3 linked regions of the Drosophila melanogaster genome follow. The protein of the gene in region 3 interacts with the protein of the main gene of each other region in a pairwise test. Each region holds a gene or a part of one and is shown on either strand. Other genes may lie near its edges.

Region 1 (7,483 bases), on a different chromosome or scaffold from region 3:
TGTTTGCATAAAAAACGAGCCAAGACATCGAAAGGCATCACGTGCCCAGGAGTCGGTTCCTCCTCGCTCCATCCCAGTGGAATGTGGGGCCAAAAAACAAAAAAAAACTGCTGGAATTCAGTAGTGACAATAGCAACAAACGGATGCCGACAGCGATATATGAACGAGCAGTGGATGCACAAGAAAAAAATCATTTTAAAAATTATTATATGGAATTATATTGAGTGAATGGTATTTAATATATTCGATTCGTTTTTTATGAGAAAGTATGTTTTCAGGAACTAATCTATCTATACATATAAATATATTATGCTATGAAATAAGGTTTAACATGATTTTATGATATTTGTCTAAAGTAGTAATATTTACTTAAAAACTATTTGAGCAGTTGGCAAAAGGATTTATTAAATTCTCCAGCAAACAATATGAATAATAATAGTGCTTATTAGTTCTTATTTATTCAGTTAAGTTTCAAAATAGTACAAAATATGAGTGTGGTTCGCAGAGCCATCCAATTGAGTGGGTTAAGTGGGTGGAGTGCAGCACTGGTGTCGTTGGCCTCCAAATCCAACAAAAAAAAAAAATCGAATCGAAATAGCGAAAGACGTTTCACTGTGGCGGAAGTGAGATGAGTTGAGGTTCAGAGCGGGATGGCTGGAGGACAGCCAGCTGCCGGTCGTTTTGCATGTCCGTGTTGGGTTAAGTGGATTGTTTACTTTGATTACAAAAATATGGCAAATGTTTGCACGTTTGATGTCTCACTGCGTGTGTGTGTGTGTGTGTGTGTGTGTGTTCGTCGGTGTGCTTACGTGTGCATGTGTGTGGCGCAGACACATGCATTGGTTGGTAGTGGTGGTGGTGGGAGTGAGAGAGAGAATGAGCGATCTTGATTATATAGAATCTTAGATTGATTTCACAAAATATCCTATCTTATCAATCATTTTTCATGCATTTTTCTTAAGTTTGACTTTTTTCAAAAATGTGCTCAGTTCAGTTGTGTTTGAATACTTCAATTTATTCAAGATGAATCTTTTCACGCGGTCATCTCCATGGCAAACAATGCACACACACACACTCATATTTACATACAGAACGAAAGAAAGAGATGGAAAGGAGCGAATGAGACGGGGAGAAGTACATTCAGGCAGCGAGACAAATGGCGTTTGCCTTGGCGCGCTTGTAAAATCCGAAAGCTAACATTATTACAAAAAATCTGCAGTTATACATTTGACTTTGGTTTATTTTTGTGATTTGCCCAGTTTGCAGTTGACCAACCAACCGACCGACCATCGCAGGACTGCCTGTTTGGCTGAGTTTTTATTGTATTGAGGCTGCGGGAACCAGATGGAAAGGAACTGTTGATTGTGGGGCCAGTGTCGGCCGAAAAGATGGGATTGAAAGGGGGGGGGGGGGAGAGTTAGGAAATGGGATAGGTCAGGAGAGAGGAGACAGGATCCAGCTTCTTTTGTCCTTTAAATTGAATTGCCACCGAAGTTGCAGGGCAAAATAGTTGAACCGACATTAAACAATGGAAGAACGCGTTAAGTGGTTCTTACATACATACATTTAAAGTAAATTGTACCGGGAAAGTAATGGAGTCTCCTCCGCTGGCCAACGCCCATGGTCGGGCGGACCCACAGCCCATGTGGGTCACGTCATCGGAAAGGTCAAAGGCATTTATCAGGCCCACTTGGCACCCACTCCTATTTGCATTTCATGTTGAACTGTTTGCCCAGGCCAAAACTAATTTTGACATTCGAAGAGAAAAAAATGCGCGAGCAAAGCCGCCGCTTTTATTGGAAAAATTTGTATTTGTTTGGGCAATGGGCAATGGTAGAAATGGTAGCTGGTTTCTGCTTGCTGGTGGCAAATCGCAGCGGGGTCACACGCCCACAATGCCAAATAGTTTTCATTCTTAGCCGCTACTCCTCACCGCCGCTGGCTGCATTTTATTTTATTAATGGGAATTTGTTTGCCAGCGCAGGCGGATTGGATGGTTACGGGGCGCGGGGTGTAGGATGCGTCCAGGATGCGACCAGGATGCGACCAGGATGCCGCCTCGTCGCTATTATGGCAGCCATTTGTTTGCACGCGAGCATCCGAGTGCCGGAGCGTCGGAGTGCTGGAGTGCCCCACAGGGCGTATGCGCTATATTATTTTTCCCGCACTGCTGGCGGTCCTTGCCAGTGTGCCACGCCCACGCCTTAGTCCCCCCCCATCTTGGCAACGCCACTGAAAAGCGTCCAGCAACGACCACATGTCGCTCATGATTAATTGAAAGATTCTCTCAACTTCAACTGTTTTCGGGTTTTGCGTTCACCCAACCCCCCCCCTTTTAGAACTCACTTTTTTATTATTTCTATATTTTTCCTTTCGAGGTGCTTGTTGCTCTGTGTGCTTGTCCCAAGTGTTTTGATTAATGAACTATGCTGAGTGAAATTTAAACAAATTTCTTAGTACAATCCAAGCTGGCAAGCAATTAGTTTGGACCACTAAAGTTTTTAGAGTTTTTAAATAGATAGTGGCTTTTGGTACCTCTCTAAGCAGCTTAACTGTTACTCAATAATATATCAATATAATATTTATGATTGTGGATCAGGAAATACGCGCAATTAATTACATTAATTGTTTATTTATTTTTGTCTACTGTTTGCCACATGTACGAGTATATGTTTTTTTTTTTTAAATAAGGATTTCCATTCACCTAGAAACCATATCAATTAGTGTATTGCTATTTCCGCAGCTCTGGTGCAACTTTCACTCACTCATTTTAACTCTGTTCTGTGCATGTTACTCCCTCTCCCTCCCTCTCTCTCTCTCTCTCTCTTTCAACCTAGTAATAAGACTAATTGAGCGCACCTGCTCGTCGATGTTCCCGACATAAGTATTAGTTCTGCCAGCCACCTTGTCTAATCTGGGCCGCATTTTCCCGGCGATAAGACCATTTTCGATTGGTATAGACAGTGCTTACGATGCCGCAAGTCAGTGTTTCAATGGCCGGGGAATATATCATACTGGAGAACTCGTCGACTTATCCGGGCTTCCATTCCAGTTCCAACGGATTGGCGAATGGCATGTACCGCTCCGCCCAGCGCATCTCCACCGATCGCCTGGTCCTGCTCATTCTGCTGGTGAGCACCACGGTGATCGGGCTGTTTGCCTACTGGGATGTAATGGTGCTCAACGCCGGCGCACTGCCACTGTCCAGAGGCACTAGCTCTGTTGATTACATGGAGCCTGGACTGCGCAACGAAACCCTGGCCGAGAAGATGCATCGGGAGGTGAGAGTCCTGTGCTGGGTGCTCACCACACCCAAATACCACAAGACCCGGGCCATTCACGTTTTGCGAACGTGGGGCAAACGCTGCAATAAGATCTACTTCATGACCTCTGAGCCGGATGACGAGCTGCCCACCGTTGTGCTGACCAAGCCGGACCGATACGAGATGCTGTGGGGCAAGACCAAAGAGGCCTTTGTCCACATCCACGAGCAGATGCGCCACGAGGCGGATTGGTTCATAAAGGCGGACGACGACACGTATGTGAAAGATTCAGATTCTTAAATAGGGAAAGAGTGGCATTTTATTGCAGGAATTGATAAGTGAATGGATGGTTGTTTTCGTCACCACAGATACACGTACATATGTATATATGTATGTATGTATTTATTGAACATTATTATCATTCTGTTTTACCTTTGTGGTGTAACTACTGATGGTATCTCAATGTTAGGGCCACAGCCAAAACAGTTGAATGAAGAATAATTAGGAACCGATAAAGAAAAGATAGCATTATTAAAGTTTGACTGAACTTTCAATCTGCTCCTATCAATAGCTACCTCTTTTTGGAAAATCTGCGCTACATGCTCTACCCGTATTCACCGGAGACACCTATTTATTTTGGATTTAATTACAAGATGGTCGGCACTCACCAGAAGAACGAGGTGAGTTTATCTTCTGTCCGGTTCGGATTACATTACAAACTCACTGAATATGAATCCGATTCAATAGTCATACATGTCCGGCGGCAGTGGCTACGTACTGAGCCGCGAGGCTCTTAGGATCTTCGCCGAGGGCGTCAACGACACCACCAAGTGTCGCCAGGAGGACGATCACGCCGAGGACGTCGAGATGGGCAAGTGCCTGTTCAACCTGGGCGTGAAGGCGGGTGATTCCAGGGACGAGCAGCTGCGCAACCGCTTCTATCCCATAGCTCCTTATGGAGCCCTTCTCTCGGGCAACGTTGGCATGGACTTTTGGTTGTACAAGTACGCCTACTACAATCCGAGATCGGTGAGTTTGGATGCATTTAGCACCCTACTAAAAGTACGTTTGTATGTATGTAGATATATGAATGAATGCACAGCTTACCCATCCAGTACCTTTTAACAATCCAGCAAAATAGAAAATAAACTCAAGTGTCACAAAGACAACGCCATATTTTGCCAAGCACTCATATTATTTAGTCGAACGTAATCATCATTCTTCGTTACCAGAAAGGTGGTGGTAAGGTGCGTTCGTCACTGGCTTATAACCGCGTGAGGAGGCATTTTATCTTTGATATTCAAGCCTCAACGTATAGTTTTTCCACCTTCGTATTCGCATTCCTTGTCCTCTTTTGATTATTATCTAAACTATCTTCGTATTCTTGCAGTGCATGGACTGCCTGTCGGAGTACCCGGTGGCCTTTCACTATGTGCACAGCAAGCAGCTGTACGTGTACGACTACTTCAACTACCAGTTCCAGCTCTCCGGAAGGGCGCAGGTGGCGGAACGGCTGCCCAAGAAGATCCGGGAGGAGGAGCTGGTCATCCCCGAGAGCGACAATCCGGTGTCCTAGGCAGGAGCCAGCCATTCTGCCACTTCAGCAGCAGCAATCTCAAGTCCATATCTACATATTTTCCATCCTTTTTTTTTTGTGTGTGCTTATCGTGTATTTAATATATTATGGGCACAAGGCGAACGTGCCAAGGCTGCCAGATGCTGTCCTGTTGCGACTCCTTGTCCTTGCCCGATCCACGTCCTAGTTTATCTATTCATGTATTTATTATTGAGCAGCTCGTGGCAGACGGGCCACACGAAGGCATTAAAAGGATAATGGAGGGCTACTGGGTGGACATTTACTCTTGATTTCCAATGAGGATTTCAAAAAGTTGCATATCTAGAAAAATGAATTAGTCGCAACTATAATGGTATGGCTGCACTATTAACATTGTAAGTGTACGTACGAAATGACTGCAATCTCTGATCTGTTGAATGGTACAAATTAGAGTTGCCAGCTTGAACTTTGTTATGCCATAATAATCTTAAACTCTATAAATGATTGGCTTTACAACATATGTACGCAAGGAAAATAAACAGTTTTCTTTAGAAGCCTAAGGCGTATGAAATGGTTATACTTCTTGTACAGTTTTCAACAATCTACAATGAGTAAATGAAATAATAATGGCCACGTGGCGTTGAGTGGCTTAACTTACCGCAACTTGTTTCAAACCCTGGTAACACCTTTTAACGTCATTGTGCAACACTAGTACTAGAAATCGAAAAGCAAGTACATATTTGTTACTTTAAGGCAAATGATCAAAAGAGTGATTTTACTACTGCTGACATTAAATATGTGGATTATTATATAAAACACTCGATTCGAAAAATCGAATTACTTAACTTTTAATACTGGAAATAAAAATGATCATAGAGCATATTATTTATAACAGAATGTGTATAGTTTTTTTTAAATTATTTTAGCATTGTATTGAGTACAGTCAAGTGTTCTTTGCAAAAGCTCTGTTCCTATTCGAATTTTTTTTTACACATGCGGGCACACTAATTGGTATTTAAGTATGCCCAGACTTTTAGATCCAGTTAATCAGCTATTCGTTGAATGATTCTCACTTTATCCTTTACTTTCTACACGATTCAAGTGAGCTATTGCGAAATAAATTAAAAAACCAACTTTTCAATCTTCTGGGAATATTGAATACTGAGGAAAACCCTAAATTGATTGCTGCCGAAACCCAGAAGGATGGAGAACATGAACAAAGAACTCGCGAATATGGAGAAACTATCTTTGAAGGAGCTGCTCAGTGAGGACACACTCTCTGAATTGGCTACCCCGAATGATGTCGACATTGCCGGCGAGGAAAAGAACCTCGAGGGTCAATCTGTTTCGAAGGAAGATCCACCGCCTGCGGCAGTTGTACCCAAAGCGACCAAAGCGCCCAATAATCCCGAAGCGCTAACCCAAAAGCAGAGTATGGACTATGCGGCACGGATCGTGAAGGTCATCAACCTACAGATGCAAAATGTGGTGCATAAAACGTTCATGATGATGCAATCACCACTCCCTCTCCGGAACAGGCTACCAGTGGTCGTGTCCACCATGATCCGCTCCCGTAGGGCACCCAAGTTGAAGCTCAAAGATGTGAGGAGAGTGATCACGGGCCTGGCGCTGCATCGTGCACACCTGGTCTACGAATATATTATCAACCACCCCGAATAAGAAAACTTCTACATATGTTAACTTAATACAATAATTAAAAAATCCAAACACTCGCCGGCTCTAGTTTAGTTTAAAGTTCTATAGAACAAGGTTCATCGCACGCATACTACAATATATTACTGATGAATATTCAGCTAGTTTTGAACGTATTTGAAATATATTCGGCTCAAATTAGGCCTAAAGCTGATGCTTTTCAATTTATTAACTGAGGAGCCACTTCAGTTCAGTGGGTCACTATTACAATTATTCATTGGCTTATCCCTATAAGTCCACTTCAGAGCACTTAAGTCTCATTCTCGCAGGCAGCTAATTAAGGTCATCGCTCCCTGCGGCTCACCCCAAAAAATTTGGGTGAAACACTGGCATTCCAATAGTTCACATTCCCTGGGCTAATTAGGAAATTAGACTACCTACCGGCCGACATTTTGTGTTTCTTTGGAAAAGTCGGTAGAGTCGCGTCAAATGCGAATCGCATACGAATGGCAGTGGAATCAGAATGGAAATGCGAATTTTGCCTAAAATGCCGAGAAAAAATTGGACTAAAACACTTGCCGTAATGCGTGGTGTGCATTTTCCAAGGCAATCTGGCGAGTGGGGGCGGTGCTCCACATTGCTTTACCCGGCGACCCAGACAATTTCCGCTCGTAAAAGTGGTCCTCCGCCTGGTCTTGCCATTTTGGCCAGTGGCTGGGTGGCCAGTGGTTGGTGGCTCCTGGCCACTGTAATTAATACCAAAATAATTGTATTTGGATAACACAAACGTAATCAAGATTAATTGAGTAACAGCAGGTAGTTTGCATAATTAGAGCGCAGACAGTGGACTCCCCGCCGCCGATTCAATGCTCCTCCTTCTCCTACCCCTTGGCACCCTGTTCCTCCCATAAGCATAATTTGCAATTTCAACTGTCTGCCAACGCCTCCTATTTCCCGACTCCCCTCGCCGATGCCTGTCCACCTGCCACGCCCCTTCCCCGCTGGCTGCCCT
Region 2 (6,408 bases), on a different chromosome or scaffold from region 3:
AAAGCACAGGGCTCTAAAAATTAATTAATATATTTCACTCTTCACAGAGCGCATTGTATTTGATAACACTTCCATTTTTCCCGATCACGAGTGTTTTTATTATATAAATCAAAACATCAAACTTATCTGTATCGTAAAGATATGTGATAAGTGGCTGCTACTTGAAAATTTTAGTAGATTTCGGGATTTCCGTTTTAACTGAACATACATGTTCATACGTGCGACTAAATTAAAAAATGCTATGTAAATTCTTTAACTTTTCAAGCCCAATCAATATGCATAATTATCTTATCTTGTCGTTCAGGCAGCCAGCGTTCCCGTGGACTTCGAGTGCTACTTCCTTTCCGAAATCAATCCCGTGCTTAGTGCCAAACTGGAGGATGTGGTGGCATCCATTCAGAAAAACAAAGTGTGCATTAAGGTAAGTTTGCAAGAAAATAAAATAGTGTGATAAAATCTAAACAATGTGCTCCTTCAGGGCGTTTTGGCCACACCCGACTACAGCAATGTGGGTGACCTGCAGACCCTTAACATGAAGCTTCGCAACGACCTGGACCTCTACGCCAATGTGGTGCATGTGCGCAGCTTGCCCGGTGTCAAGACCCGCCACACCAACATCGACACGGTGATTATTCGCGAGCAGACGGAGGGCGAGTATTCGGCGTTGGAGCACGAGTCGGTGCCCGGCATTGTGGAGTGCCTGAAGATTATCACCGCCAAAAAGTCCATGCGCATTGCCAAGTTCGCCTTCGACTATGCGACGAAGAATCAGCGCAAGAAGGTCACCGCCGTGCACAAGGCGAATATCATGAAGTTGGGCGACGGTCTCTTCCTACGCTCCTGCGAAGAGGTTTCCCGGCTCTATCCGCGCATCCAGTTTGAGAAGATGATCGTGGACAACACGACCATGCAGATGGTTTCCAATCCCAACCAGTTCGACGTGATGGTCACCCCCAATCTCTATGGTGCCATTGTGGACAATCTGGCCAGTGGTCTCGTGGGCGGTGCTGGTGTCGTTGCTGGTGCCTCCTACTCCTCGGAATCCGTCGTCTTTGAGCCGGTAAGATTCGCCATAAAGACATAAAGATAATCCATAAGATCGTGATTTACACGGTTCTCGAGCCTAGCTGTGCGAATCCACTTCAGACTATTCTTATCTCTAATACCGATTTCCGATTGCAGGGTGCACGTCACACCTTCGCCGAGGCCGTGGGCAAGAACGTGGCTAATCCCACTGCCATGCTGCTCTGCGGCGTGAAGCTGTTGCGCCACATCAACCTGCCCACCTACGGCGAGATCATCCAGAATGCCATCAACAAGGTGCTGAACGATGGCAAGGTGCGTACTAAGGATCTGGGCGGACAATCGACCACGCAGGACTTTACCCGCGCCATCATCCTGAACATGTCCTAGATGGGCACCACTGTCATCGCCGGCATCGCGATCAGCAAGTCTACAACATCATGGGCAACAACGTTGGCGCTTATATAATCGACATTAGACAGTTTCTGTTGTTGCCACAGCTAAATTTTGAATTGTTGAAAGAAACACCTTGAAAGTTCTTAGTTATCCTATTACGTCCAATTTTTTTTATTTGTCCCGATGTCTTCAGTGCATTCATTTGAGTATTATTTCCGGCGAATATTTAAGTTTAGTCCAATTGAAACGCCTGCAGACCCGCCCCGAATCCAAAAGTTGCGAATTCTTTAGTTTTACCAATTGGCAGTAATACATCGATCCTTGATTATGTTGTAATTATTTACGTATTATTTCCCCCCCCCCCCCTTTTTGATTTCGCAAAGATGCTAATTTACGGTCGAATTATATTTTATGTTTAACCCGTTGAAAAGCAAAACAAAAAAAAAAACCGAAAACAAATGATATTGCTAAACCAATTAACTGATAACGGATGGCTTTGAGTGGACCCACTCCACTGGAGCTGTGAGAAAGATAACAATAAACTCAAATCTAAATTAATTATTATTTAAAAGCCATTGTCAGTTCCGAGCTGTCTAAATTTTAAGTAATACAAACAAAAGATAAAAAAAAAAACCCAAACATATTTCTCAAACTTTTTTTTGACTGGAATGAAAGGCCAAAGGAGATTTCATCGCTATTCCCAACTCCGGCGCCACTTTCACAGGAAATCCAATCCCGTAAAGAGCCGGAAAAGCTCTAGTTGTTTTTTAAAAAACCAAAAACAAATTTATTAGAAAAGTCGATACCAAATGTAGCCGAAATGAAAAACTTAGAACACCAATAAGGACGGTAATGATTATCCAGACGCACAGTCCACGTCCGTCTCCAATTATTATCCACCCTTGGGCTTGGCCAACTCGATGAGGCGTGGCGAGGCTTTGGCCTTCAGAGCCGCCGGCGATATGGCAAACGGATTCTCCCGGATATGCGTGTTCTCGAACTCCTTGGGCTCCGCCAGCTCCTTGATCCGCGTGCTCGCCTTGTATTTGAGCGCGTTTGGCGCGATACCGAATGGATTCTCCTTGACATCCGCCAGTCCTTGGTTGGCATCGCGCGTGGTAAGTGGCTCGGACATCTCCTTGATGCGGGCACTCGCTAAGTGAAGCAATGCCAGGTGCTGCATTATTAAAAGATCAACTAAATTGGAGTATGTGTACTTACGCTTGTAGCGAAGGGCATTGGGCGAGACCTTCTCCGGATTCTCGTTGATGTGGACATTATCGCGCACGACGGGCTGCGATATTTGCTTGATCCGCTTGGTCGCCTTGTAGTCCTTCATCTGGGAGGTCAGCTCCCACTTGGGTTTGATCTCCTCCAAATAGGCCTTGGGACTGGCCAGCTGATTGAGACGCACGGGATCGAACTCCCCAGCTCCACGATCCTAAATGAAATGGGGGATTATCATCAGTTTTTAGCTGAATTTAGTTTTTTTTTTAACTTACCGGTTTCGGGACCTTTGGTGCTTTCTTTGGTTTCGCCAACTTTTCGATGTACTTCTCGTGCTTAGCCAGCTGCTTCTCCGTCTTCTTCTTCTTTTTCTTCCTGCAAGCACAAAGGATAATGGGTTTATAAATAATAATGAATGAACATAAGATAGATAGATATATTATCTTACGGCTTAACCAACGGCTGGATATTCGTGAGACGACTGTACAGCGATAGATAGCTGTAGCGAAGCCATCTGTTCAGTATGGACTCCCCAATTGAGTCGCCCGCCAGAATGGCCGTTCGCCGCCTGTGAAGCAATCGACGGACCGTGGGCAGAGCTAGTTGCTCGGTGCGTGTGTGATTCTGGGCGTCACATGGTCGCACCATCTCGATGGACTTGGGAAATGAGCAGGCGCATTTCGGCACAAAGCGGCAGGTGCGTCGCCTGGGTATGGCCATTTCCATCAGACGCCGCCGCTTGACGAACATGCGCTCGTGTCGGCGCGTCAGTTTGTCCAGCTCCTGGCCAATGTCCCTAACGAAGCACTCGGCATCGTAGGGAATGGGGTCCCGGATGGGACAGCAGTCCGGACGGACGCAGTCCTTCAGCTGCAGACAAGTGGTCACCGTCGGGCTGAGGTCACACTTCAGTCCTTGGATGGTCATTCTGTGGATTTCCGAATTTTGACGCACTACTTTAAACCAATTAATGCTAACTTTTTTATTCGCTTATGATAAAAAACATCTACGATTATCTGAACGAGTTGAAAGCTAACTTCATCTGGAGAATTTTTTGTGGCAACTAAGTACAGAAATTTTGGAATTTGACAGCAAATGAAATGCATACATTTTTCGCTATTAGACAAGATTTTTTAATACTTACCTAAGCTGGAATTTTAATTTCAAAATTAAGCTTTATCCACTTAACCCCGATGGCAATGAAAAGACGTTGTTAATCTTTAATTAATGTTTTATTGACAGTATTCATAAAAATACTGAGAGTATGCTCCAAGTTCACATCATTACAAGTTAATAGTTTTGTTTTTGGGCCTTGTTTTCCGACTGTCCCATCGGCAAGTTGTTAATTTTTTTAGTTTGCTCTCCGACAGCTAACGTATACCCTCTATTTTTGCTCATTCTGTTCACATATACACAAATCTCATCCATTTCTTAAGCAATTTTTGCCCGTTTCCTTGACGTTCTTCTCAACTGATTTCGGTTGGTTTTTATGCTTTTTTACAATGTTTTTGCTTCGGTTAATGTAATGTATCTCCTTACTCTGGTTGCAATTCAATTGGAATTCAGCAGTTCAGCACATGTTCTTATTTGTTCATTATTATTGGCTTCAAATTTGTTGATCGTTTTTTTTTTATTCGTTTGTCTTGCGAACAAAATGTACATAACGTGGAAACGAAAGGGATAAGCATAATGTTAATAATAATTGTTATACACCCACATCGAACTTATGCAATACACTCATACCATACACAAATATGTACTATAAATTTGAATTTAGCATTTACTAGGTCATTTTTTGGTTGACAAAAATTTTGCTAATTTGAATTTACCTTATTTGGTTTGTTTGTTTTTTTTTTTCATTTGATATTCGATTTGTTGAGAATCCCACTTGGCATTCGCTTTTTTTTATATACACAAAAGGTCAACGCCAAAGCGAAATAATAATTAGTTCTATGTAAATTGGGGTTTTCTCCATTTTCAATCAATTTTTTTTTTTTTTTGCTTGCCATCGAAATATGTATGTTCTTTTTACACTTAATCCAGTTTTAGTTTGTTAATTTCCTCTCATATCGTATACATTTGATTTTGACTTACAAATATAATTTTAATCAGAATTTATCCAAAGTTTGCATGGCCTGAAGTTTTCACTGCATTTAGATATTTTTTTTGTTGCTTTAGAATCTAAAGTTTAGGTTTACTTTTTGACACGCTAAATGTATATAATATATGTATATAGATTACCAAAAGGGTTGCTCCTTCATTTATGTACACACATACGATTTTCCGGGTCTGCATAATTTTGCAATAGTTTTTCACAATTTTTGTTCGCAATTTTTAACTTGATTTTTCGTCTCGTCTTCAAGATATGCCTTAAAACTTGATTTAGCTTTAGTTTTCAACGCCACACGTCGTGTGTGCTTGTGTGTTTACATTTTAGTATTGATTTACCATTGATTTCATTAGTAATTTCATTAATTTAAGTTTAAATCATTTCTCCTTTTAGTTGGTCCCTGAAGCTGTGTTGAGTTTAGATGTACGATTCCTTTGGCTCGTCTGTGTAGTTGGTGCCATTTTTGATTTTTGTTCGGAAAATTTCAAAATTTTTAAGTGGGTTGGAGCCGAAACATATTTTTGAAAGTGGTGAGAATCAACTAAAGAACTGAACTAAAAATCAAACTCAATTAACCGAAACTAAAGTTTCAATTGCCTTTTATTGTTGTTGTTGTTATGGTTGTTGTTGTTGTTGTTGGGAATTGCATCTGTTGAGTGCCAATTGATATTGTTGTTGTTGTTGTTGTTGTTGCTCATCTCTTGCATGTGAAAATGGAGCAAATATTGGCCACGTTAGAAGGGCTTAGGGTTTTTATCCACCTGCTACCATGGCCAATATTTACTTTGGGCTATTGTTCAGTTTATTCATATTTCGTGTCATCTGTCAATTATAACTATTGCGTATAATGGTATTAAGTATCTTGTTGCAATTGTTAGACGGTGCTTAATTTAATATTCATATTCGATTTTTCTTATATTCTGCAATGTGTGTGAACGGAGAGCCTCCTGTGCTGATGATAAATGCAAACGATAAACGAATGGTTTAACTAAAATATTTTCCATTTTATTAATAAACGTTTTAATTCGTAAATATATTGTATATATCTGGTTTGTTTTTGCGTTTAAAACATAATAAGTAAATAATAAAGATAACGAAAATTATAAACTTAAACTTAGTTATGTGTGTCTGTGTAAATATAATAACAATTATGCACGCCTTACTAAACAGAAATTTTGCTGTTGTAAATATTAATTTAAGGTTTACAATGTATTTATTACATTTAATCAAATTAAGCGAAATTGTAATATGTTTATAAATTACTTATCAAATAAAACATATTTATTTTGGATTTCTTTTTCAACGCAGAACAAATTGGTTTCACATTTTTCTTGCAGTTTTAAGTTTTTCTTCACTTTTATGTTTCTTTTTAAAATCTCTGCTTTTGTGTTTTTTTTTTAGCTTTATTGCTAATACACTTTGCTGTACTTATGGGCTATTGCTAATAATAATGCGAATTCTTTTTATTTGCTTATTGGCTTTTGTTTTCCACTAAAAAATCGTTCTTTGTTTTTGAATTTTGTAGCAATTATGTAATGCAAAAAAAAAATGTTATTTTCTGCTCTATTTTCTTTATTATAGTTTACCGAAAGTCTAATTTTATGAATTGTACTTACATCAGTTTGTTTGTTTGTTGTAAAAATAATGAAAAA
Region 3 (7,820 bases):
CAAATGGGTCGCAAAAAGCTTTTGTGCATTTTCTACACTGAAAGAAAACGGACTCAATCACGTAGTTCAGCTAAGCAGAAACTATTTTAACTCCTAAGAGATTAGGCAATTTCTTATATTTTAAAGTCTTAGCATCATCGAACATTTAAGAATATATTAGTTAGTTTTACAAATTTCTTGCTGCTGGAACTATATAACTATTTAAGATATCTTTTTCTCTTAGTGTACTCCTTCGTTGATTACCTAGAAGGCAGCCGCTTCCGAAGCACAATTTATTGTAAATTAAAATGCTAAACAGGGCAAATGAGGACATTTAATTATCACATGCTGGCGAGGATCTCAGTCAAGCCTTGGGATAGTCTGAAATCGGCCATTACCCACACGCAGACATCGAAGGGAGGGGGGTTGCCCGAGTGGCTGCTAACCCCGTAAACCACACGATGACATTAATTACGGACCCGACAAAGGACTGGCGTTGGCCAACCCAATGGCCACAGCATAGAAGGCAATCGAAGTGGCGTGGAAGGAAGGGTTCTCTATAAAATTAATATCGAGTAATTAACAGGGCGAGTGCTGAGACTTAAGTAGGTGGGACACCAAAACCCCGATACACTCGATTAGGTGGGTGGGTGTGTCAATATTGACTTTGCCACTGCCACTTGGCTCTCTTAAGCGGCTCCTTGCCAATTAGCCAGCTCACTACGCTGATCCGGGAATTGGCCTTTAAAGTGCGGAATTGCTTTCGGCCTAAGCCCGGACTTCTTTATGGTTTCGAGAGCTTCCCGTCCACAACTCCTCCTCCGGCAGCAGCTGGGAGAGGCCCAGGCCTTGGCCTGCTTACACAAGCATGCCAAATGCGGCTTAGTTTTTGTTAACGATTCGCAAACATGTGGCCCAAACCCCAAGCCAAACCCCACGGCCAGCACAAAGGCGGAATTCGCTTTGATGGCATCTGTGCATGCGAGTTCTCTTTGGGCCAAGTCGTCACTTATTGACTGACTTGTGTGGGATGTACGCGGTCCATATAAGATGGATGAAACGAGAATCGCTTCTTTGCGGATAATAAAGCATCTCGAGGAATGCGCATAAAGATGTGTACTAGGGCATCTCAGGGGGAATTAAGTGTGTGATAACGGATTCGGATGACGATTCACACAATGCCACAGTCCAGTGGGAACTTCGGCGATCGAGTGAATAACACAGTCGTATTAATAAGGCTATCGAGGTCGAACAATCACCAGCTGTACTTACTTTTTTATATATATGCTCTCATTTCTTAATGAATAATTAATACGTGATTTTACATATAAAGGTATACCTAAATAACGACGGCCTGTGTCAAAAATGATTTACTTATGTTTGCTCAAATAATGAAGTATGAATAATGGTATATCTAAGAAAGTATTACAGCGAAATTAATAATTTGTAAGCATTCAACCCACTGTGCGCAAAACAATGCTCTCGAATCTATATTTAACCATTAAAAAGAGTCTTCCGGTGATTTCATGGCATGGCTTGATTAGACGTGGGCACATTTTACCCTATTTCACTTTTTATCTTTGCGCTCTTCTGAAGGTCAACGCAAATTCTTAATGGCAATGTGCTACAAATAGATACATATGTACTGGTTTTAGATAAATCTGTTTTGTCTTTTGAGAAAGCAACATCTGTTTACATAGAACTATCAAAAGATATTTAAATGTTAAAAAATTGCATACAATAGGAATCTCGCTATATATATTATAAAATGTAGTCACATATAGTCACTCAGAAATATTATTATCTTTCATAGGACGATGTATAAATCATTTTTATTTAGTCACATTATGACTAAGTTCATTGCTTGGGTGAAATGGTGGACAAATGTTTGACTAAGCCTAAGGTTTGGGGAGATTACCGGAATAATTACAAGCTAAGAGTCTACTTTGGTGCTTTGTTGTGCGCTATCTGAGGTGGCGATGCACGGCGTCGGTCTAGGGCAGATTGCAGCCCACCTGGGTGACGACCTTGGCGGCTACGCTGGAGGCCATTCGGATGCACTCGCCCAGCGAGCGCTTCTCCAGCCAGGCGTGCAAGAATCCGGCCACAAAAGCATCTCCGGCCCCAGTGGCATCCACCAGCTGCTCTACGCGCTGCGCCCTGAAGTCCTCAAAGCTTACGGGTCCGGGAGGAGCCAGCTCCTCCACGTAGTTGGTGATCACCTGGACGCCGGCACTGCCGTTGGTGACGAAGATGACCTTGGTGCCACCGGATTGCAGGAGATGATCCGCCAGTTCGTCGACGTTTCGGAACCCACCCGCAGCCTCGGCCAGCGCCTCGAACTCCTGTCGGTTTCCGAACAGGAAGAAGGCGGCCCGGGCCAGCTTCATCATAGCCTGGTGATTTTTCCTCACAATGTAGGGTGCACTGAGATTGAGAGCCAGGCGTCGCCGCTCCCGCACCAGGTGCTGCACTATGTAATCGCACACATCACTCCTCTGGGGCACAAAGAAGCCCTCCACGTACAGGATTTGCTTGCGCTCCACCGGTCGCAGGAAGCTCTGGCCTTCGTGGCTGACGGCGTGGCTCAGGGTCTGCACCTCGAACTGAGCCGAGGCGCCGATGTTGGCGTACAGCGTGGGGTTGTCCTGATACATGAGGCACACGCACTGCCCTGTGTGCGCATCCTCGACGGTCTGCAGCCTGGCCTCGATGCCGCGATCCCGAATGATCTGGCGCAGCTCCTCGGCGTGCTTGTCGGCTCCCACGGCGCCAAAGAAGAGCGCGTCTGTGCCCAGCTGCTTCAGGATGCGGGCAGTGTTGAGGGCAGAGCCACCCGGGTTTGTAAGGCACCGAGAGCTGAATTGGATTGAACTCGGATTAGTAAGTATAGCTTTGCAAAGGTTGTTTATTATGTATGTATGTAGTTACTAACTAAACCCTTGTAATTTTAGAATAACCGTGTAACTTTGCCATTTTCCATTTCCTACTTCGTAAGACGATTTCGTACAGGTATAAAAACCAGTTTTGCTGTCATTAGAGATTAGAAAGAAGGCCCTTCTTAACTTCTTAAGTAAAGATTGATTGTTGTGTACAAAAGTGCTATGTATAAACAGCCTTTGTAGCCCCAGTCCTATTTGTTGTTCATTCTTTGTATCTTTTCACAATTTCTTTGAAAGGTGATACTAATTATACTTGCAAGACCTTAACTATACTACTTATATGTAAAATCAGTCTAACTAAAAACCATAACTTGGGTCCAATTGTACAATTTCTTACAATCAGTCATTGAAGATAATGAAACAATCGGGCAAGATACAAAGGTACTCACCTCTCAGAAGCCTCCGCTGCCAGCTGGTTGAGTTTCTCCATGTCCAGTTCACCCTTGGAGCCCAGTTCCAGGCCGAACCGCTCCAGGAGTTGGGGATCCTCGAGCTGGACTAGTCGGTCGAGCAGGACGTTGCCGAAGCAGATGACCTTGCGGGGCCTGAAAGTGGGAAAGCCCAATGGTCAGAGGTGTTTTCTGCCGGGTTTTTCCGCCTCAGCTGCTACTGCTGATACTCACGTGTGGAAAGCCCCTTGCGTGTCATCCGTGGGAGGATTGCCCCCGAAGATTTTTTCGTACACGTAGCTCAGGTACTCCATTGTATGCAAAAACTAACGCTTGCTCGGGACTTTCGCGTTCTATTCGCAAGTGCTCCGGATGAAATGAAATCCAACAGTGATCCGCCGCTTTTGTCGTCCGGCACAGAACTGAACGCTCGGGCCGGTTTGTCCCGGTGTTTTTATCTCGCTCTCGCCAGCGTGCTCGATTTGTTTTTTCCCATTTCGGGCAATTTGTTTGGGCCAACTTCTTTTTACCTTTGTATCGAGCGGCCTACAAAGAGCAGCTTGACTTTTTCGACTTTTTTGACTTTGTCGAGTTTTTCAACAACACAGAGCTTTTGGCACTGCGCTGGCGCTCAGATTGTGGCTATCGTACTTGGCGGCGGCACTATGGTGACTCAAAGTCGCGCTCCACAAATGCCATCGAGTTATCCCTAATGACTATTTTATAATTTATGCGACTTAATTGTTTAGCGTATTACATAAATATTGCGTGTAATATTCAGACGTTTGCCAACACTTCAGTGCGGAAGAAACAGCTGTGAGCGTGTTTTGTTTACAGGGAAGAAGAAGCATAATTGAGTGCAAGAAAAGCTCTGCCGGCGAAAAAAGCACTAATCGGGTAAAAGCTTAGGAATCGAAAGAGCCAGAGAGAACTTGACAGAGCTGTCATCCGGCGCGAACAAATCGAACCGGTTATGTCAGATAGAAATTTTAAAAATTTTCTTTGTAAATAAATAAAAATCGAAGTATCTGTAAACATATACATTGAAATTACCTGAGCTCTAGTAACAACTCTTTAAAAAGTAGAGAACCTTACAATTGGAATATATAACGAAATACACACATTTTGCGGAAATGTTATGGCTTTCTTTCAGTTTCAGCTTTGTTTGCCCTCCTTTTTTTTTAATTTCACCAGGTTCTCAAAACAAGTTTACCATCGTGCAAAGAATTCAGCCCTGCAAGTGATGTACATCTGCCCACCAGCGAGCAGCTGAATCATTTCGCCATTATTCGAAAGGCGCTGCCAAATGTTTCGCAATATTATTTAATGCGAGACAAGACCTAATTATTTGGAAAGAACGTTGCTCGCTCAGATAACCGAAACTCCCTTGCCAAAAGCCCCACGATAAATAAGAGAATACATTATGGTATCTGGTTTGGAGTGGGAAAAACCACGCATCGAAAAAATAAACTGCACTGCATTGGGGGTTTTTCGCAGAGAACTCTTTTGGAAACTGGGTTTTCCCTGCAGCCAATCGCAGCCAAATGGGAAATCCCCCAGCATAGCCGCACTGCATACAAAATTGCACCTTGGAGACCTCCACGCCGGCGCGAGATATCTCGTTTTCCAGCGTGATGCTGGTGCACGTGAGGATTCGGGCGGCATTCATCGGCCATTCATGGTGGCTTGGTGACCGGTTGCAGGTACTCAGACTTGCGGACTTTGGACCGGCCTAAAATGGAATGCCGATAGCCGAATGCCGAATGTGGGGGAACTCTTCAAAAACCAGTTCCCACTCTCTTTTGACTCTTTGACTCATTTGGCTCTTCGCTTGGCATTTGGGTTTCGGTTTGGGTTTGGGCCCAGTTTAGTGCTGCGCCGGCGTGACTCAGCAGTGGGGCAACCGCCGGCGAAGTGCCTCCGATCCATGCCCGATCACTCCGTGGGCTCCACGATTCTCCCTCGAAATAAGCCAGCAATGAAATCCATCCAATGTGGTGGCTTCACATGTGATGGGCGCATGTTGCACACACAACTGGGTGGCATGGCACACAAAAGCAACGGGCAGAGGTGCCATTGAAGTCCCACGCAAAAGGCTAAAAATATCTGAATTCCTTGGGTTCGATTGTGACGTGCGGATCAAGCTGGATGAAGAACCAAAACTTCTAATCCGCACGTTCGCCGCAGCAATAGAAAATGCTGTAGTGGTGCCCTTTATGCACTTGTGACAACTCGAATTCCGCGCTGGAATGACAAGGCAATAGTTTTATTTTCTGTCACTGCAAATGCGTATTTAAGTAATAGATATGCATATTTGTTATAAAACAAGCTAAAATGGTACTCACTAGTATGATTATCTTGAAAAATATCACATGGGGTTAGAAACGGTAAAATAAGCAATTTTTAAGTACTACGATTAGTATAATTTGCGTATATGCGTATAATTTTTATGAATGGGTCAATTATTAAGCATAACAAATATAAAATATGCTTTTTATAATGATATTTTCATAATTACAAGTATTGGGCGAACAGATGACCAATGATGTCTGTCCGGTTTTAGCTAGAAAACCCCCAAAATGCCACTGCATTTCCGCGGTTCATTGGCCACTTTCGAGGCGAATTTGGCGCGCAAATTCGTAGCTGAGTCGGCGATTTCCAACTTTCAGCACTTCCGCGGCTGATCCACTTACTACAGGTATGCCCCTCATAAGCACGACAGTTGTTTATGTTTTCGGGTCTAAATACATGCATAGGTCAGTAATTCGAATCACCCTACTCTTAATCATAGTAGTATGTTATTGAAAGACCAGAAGCTTCTTCAAATTGCATGCACATATATATGTACATATTTACATACATATGTTATTGTTATGATCATGGGCTGACTATCAGCTTGGTTGGGTTGAGTTAAACATATCACCTGCCCAGATGCACAGATGAAAACAAGTGATCTTAACCTAAATATAACCCTTCTTATTTTGCCTTCTTTAGGGTTGTATACTTTTCATAGCTTTTTACTTTTTTTGTCGTAAATCTTGCTGAATTACATGCTGCAGCTGCCCAGGAATTGTTTTCAATTCTACGCTGCACGCTCAGCAGTTTGTTCAACTCCAAAAAACCAAAACACATGTATGTATGTATGTACATACATATGTAGGCATCGATTTTCAGGTGCTATTTATAGCCTTAACAAAACCTGCGAACCTATGCTGATTCGGCGATTAAAGTAATAATTAATTACTAAAGTGCACGGCCAGCGGTAGTTGAACCCCTTAGGAGAAGCGAGCTGGAAATTCCGCCGGATGGCGTAGTTCTCGGGTTCAATTGATAAAACTCAGTGGCGATCTCGACTGGCGATTCCGACACGTTCCCACGTGCCGAATGTGCAGCGCGGAGGGGGGGAATTTAAAATTGGAATGCCGCGATAAATTGATTAGCAACTCCCTTTGTGTTTGGACATGCGATTCTGTTTGTCCGGCCGTCTGGCCAAATGCAAAAAGAATAAGATCGTGCGAAGCCTGGCCAGAAATAAAATTCGGGTTAACTTGGGTAAGTAAGGTCATTCGTTAATCATACGCCTAGTATACGCGAGTTGCGCATACGTCGCGTTGGTCGCCGAGATGCGACACACTTGGACCTGTTGCTCGCCATCAGCCATCAGGTATTAGTGGTCCATTCACGGGGTTCTGGCGAAATGTATGTACTAAATTTAAGAAAACCGTTCAAGTGAAATTTATTTACGAATTTTTGTTCGAATTTTGATGAGCAAATTGCGATTTACTCAAAGCATGTTCGCACACGATTTTTTCGCGCGAAAGATAATGAAAGCGAAGCTCTTACTTAAGGGAGACACTTTCCCTGCCTTTGCGAGTGGGAGAGCCGAGTTTCCGGGGGAGCCAAGTTTCCTGACCCCATTTGGAGCGTCCAAAACTGCAGATTGCAGTTTGGGTGTGATGGAAAGAAACCCCCAATCTGCTAATTGCCGCGACATCAACGGAAATCTTTCGGATCCCAAAAAAAGTAATGAAAAAACCCGATTTGGCTGAAAGAGCGCAAGAGCGGGAGAGCGAGCCCCCCTAAAAAGCTCTCGCTCTCGCATTTCTGATGAAATTCAGTGGAATTCTCAGGCGGCGGAGAGCGCGGCTATAAAAGCGTTCGCTCGCCAACCGAAAGCATTCATTGTGAAATTGCCACTCAAAATTGAAACAGCGCGGACAAACGGTTGAAGAAACACAAAGCCCAGTGCGAAAAGAATTTCATAAGCAAAAGTTAATCGGGTGCTAAACAAAAACACTCGAAAGCAAAGCAAAGCATAGCAAAAGCAACAACAAACAGTGCCAGCTGAAAGTGCCCAAAAAGTGGAAGCCAACGGCTCGAAAATAACACAAAACCCAAAGCAAACGCACAACCAAACGGATAACACCCACAATATGGTCGTCGAGGAGAACTGCAGCATGCACCACCTGGAGCGCGAACTGGACCTGGAGCTAGAGATCGATATGGCCAT

The links. Proteins that work in one complex are often made in the same cells at the same time.
Region 1: the proteins of Adk3 (region 3) and tgy interact in a two-hybrid assay, tested with the Drosophila melanogaster proteins (one large-scale study listed by BioGRID).
Region 2: the proteins of Adk3 (region 3) and Theg interact in a two-hybrid assay, tested with the Drosophila melanogaster proteins (one large-scale study listed by BioGRID).

Annotation. Positions count from the first base shown.
Region 1 is NC_004354.4:19,122,815-19,130,297, reverse strand, and holds tgy (twiggy), read left to right. Parts: upstream 1-2,981; 5' UTR 2,982-2,993; coding exon 2,994-3,538; intron 3,539-3,834; coding exon 3,835-3,943; intron 3,944-4,010; coding exon 4,011-4,292; intron 4,293-4,653; coding exon 4,654-4,839; 3' UTR 4,840-5,295; downstream 5,296-7,483. Other genes in the region: CG15882 (uncharacterized protein), read left to right, coding at 6,022-6,498.
Region 2 is NT_033777.3:22,011,993-22,018,400, reverse strand, and holds Theg (testicular haploid expressed gene), read right to left. Parts: upstream 3,705-6,408; 5' UTR 3,574-3,704; coding exon 3,095-3,573; intron 3,022-3,094; coding exon 2,922-3,021; intron 2,861-2,921; coding exon 2,641-2,860; intron 2,575-2,640; coding exon 2,312-2,574; 3' UTR 2,189-2,311; downstream 1-2,188. Other genes in the region: Idh3b (isocitrate dehydrogenase 3b), read left to right, coding at 305-421, 479-1,060, 1,183-1,413.
Region 3 is NT_033778.4:7,241,678-7,249,497, forward strand, and holds Adk3 (adenosine kinase 3), read right to left. Parts: upstream 4,100-7,820; 5' UTR 3,625-4,099; coding exon 3,545-3,624; intron 3,467-3,544; coding exon 3,311-3,466; intron 2,839-3,310; coding exon 1,974-2,838; 3' UTR 1,347-1,973; downstream 1-1,346. Other genes in the region: Gadd45 (growth arrest and DNA damage-inducible 45), read left to right, coding at 7,744-7,820.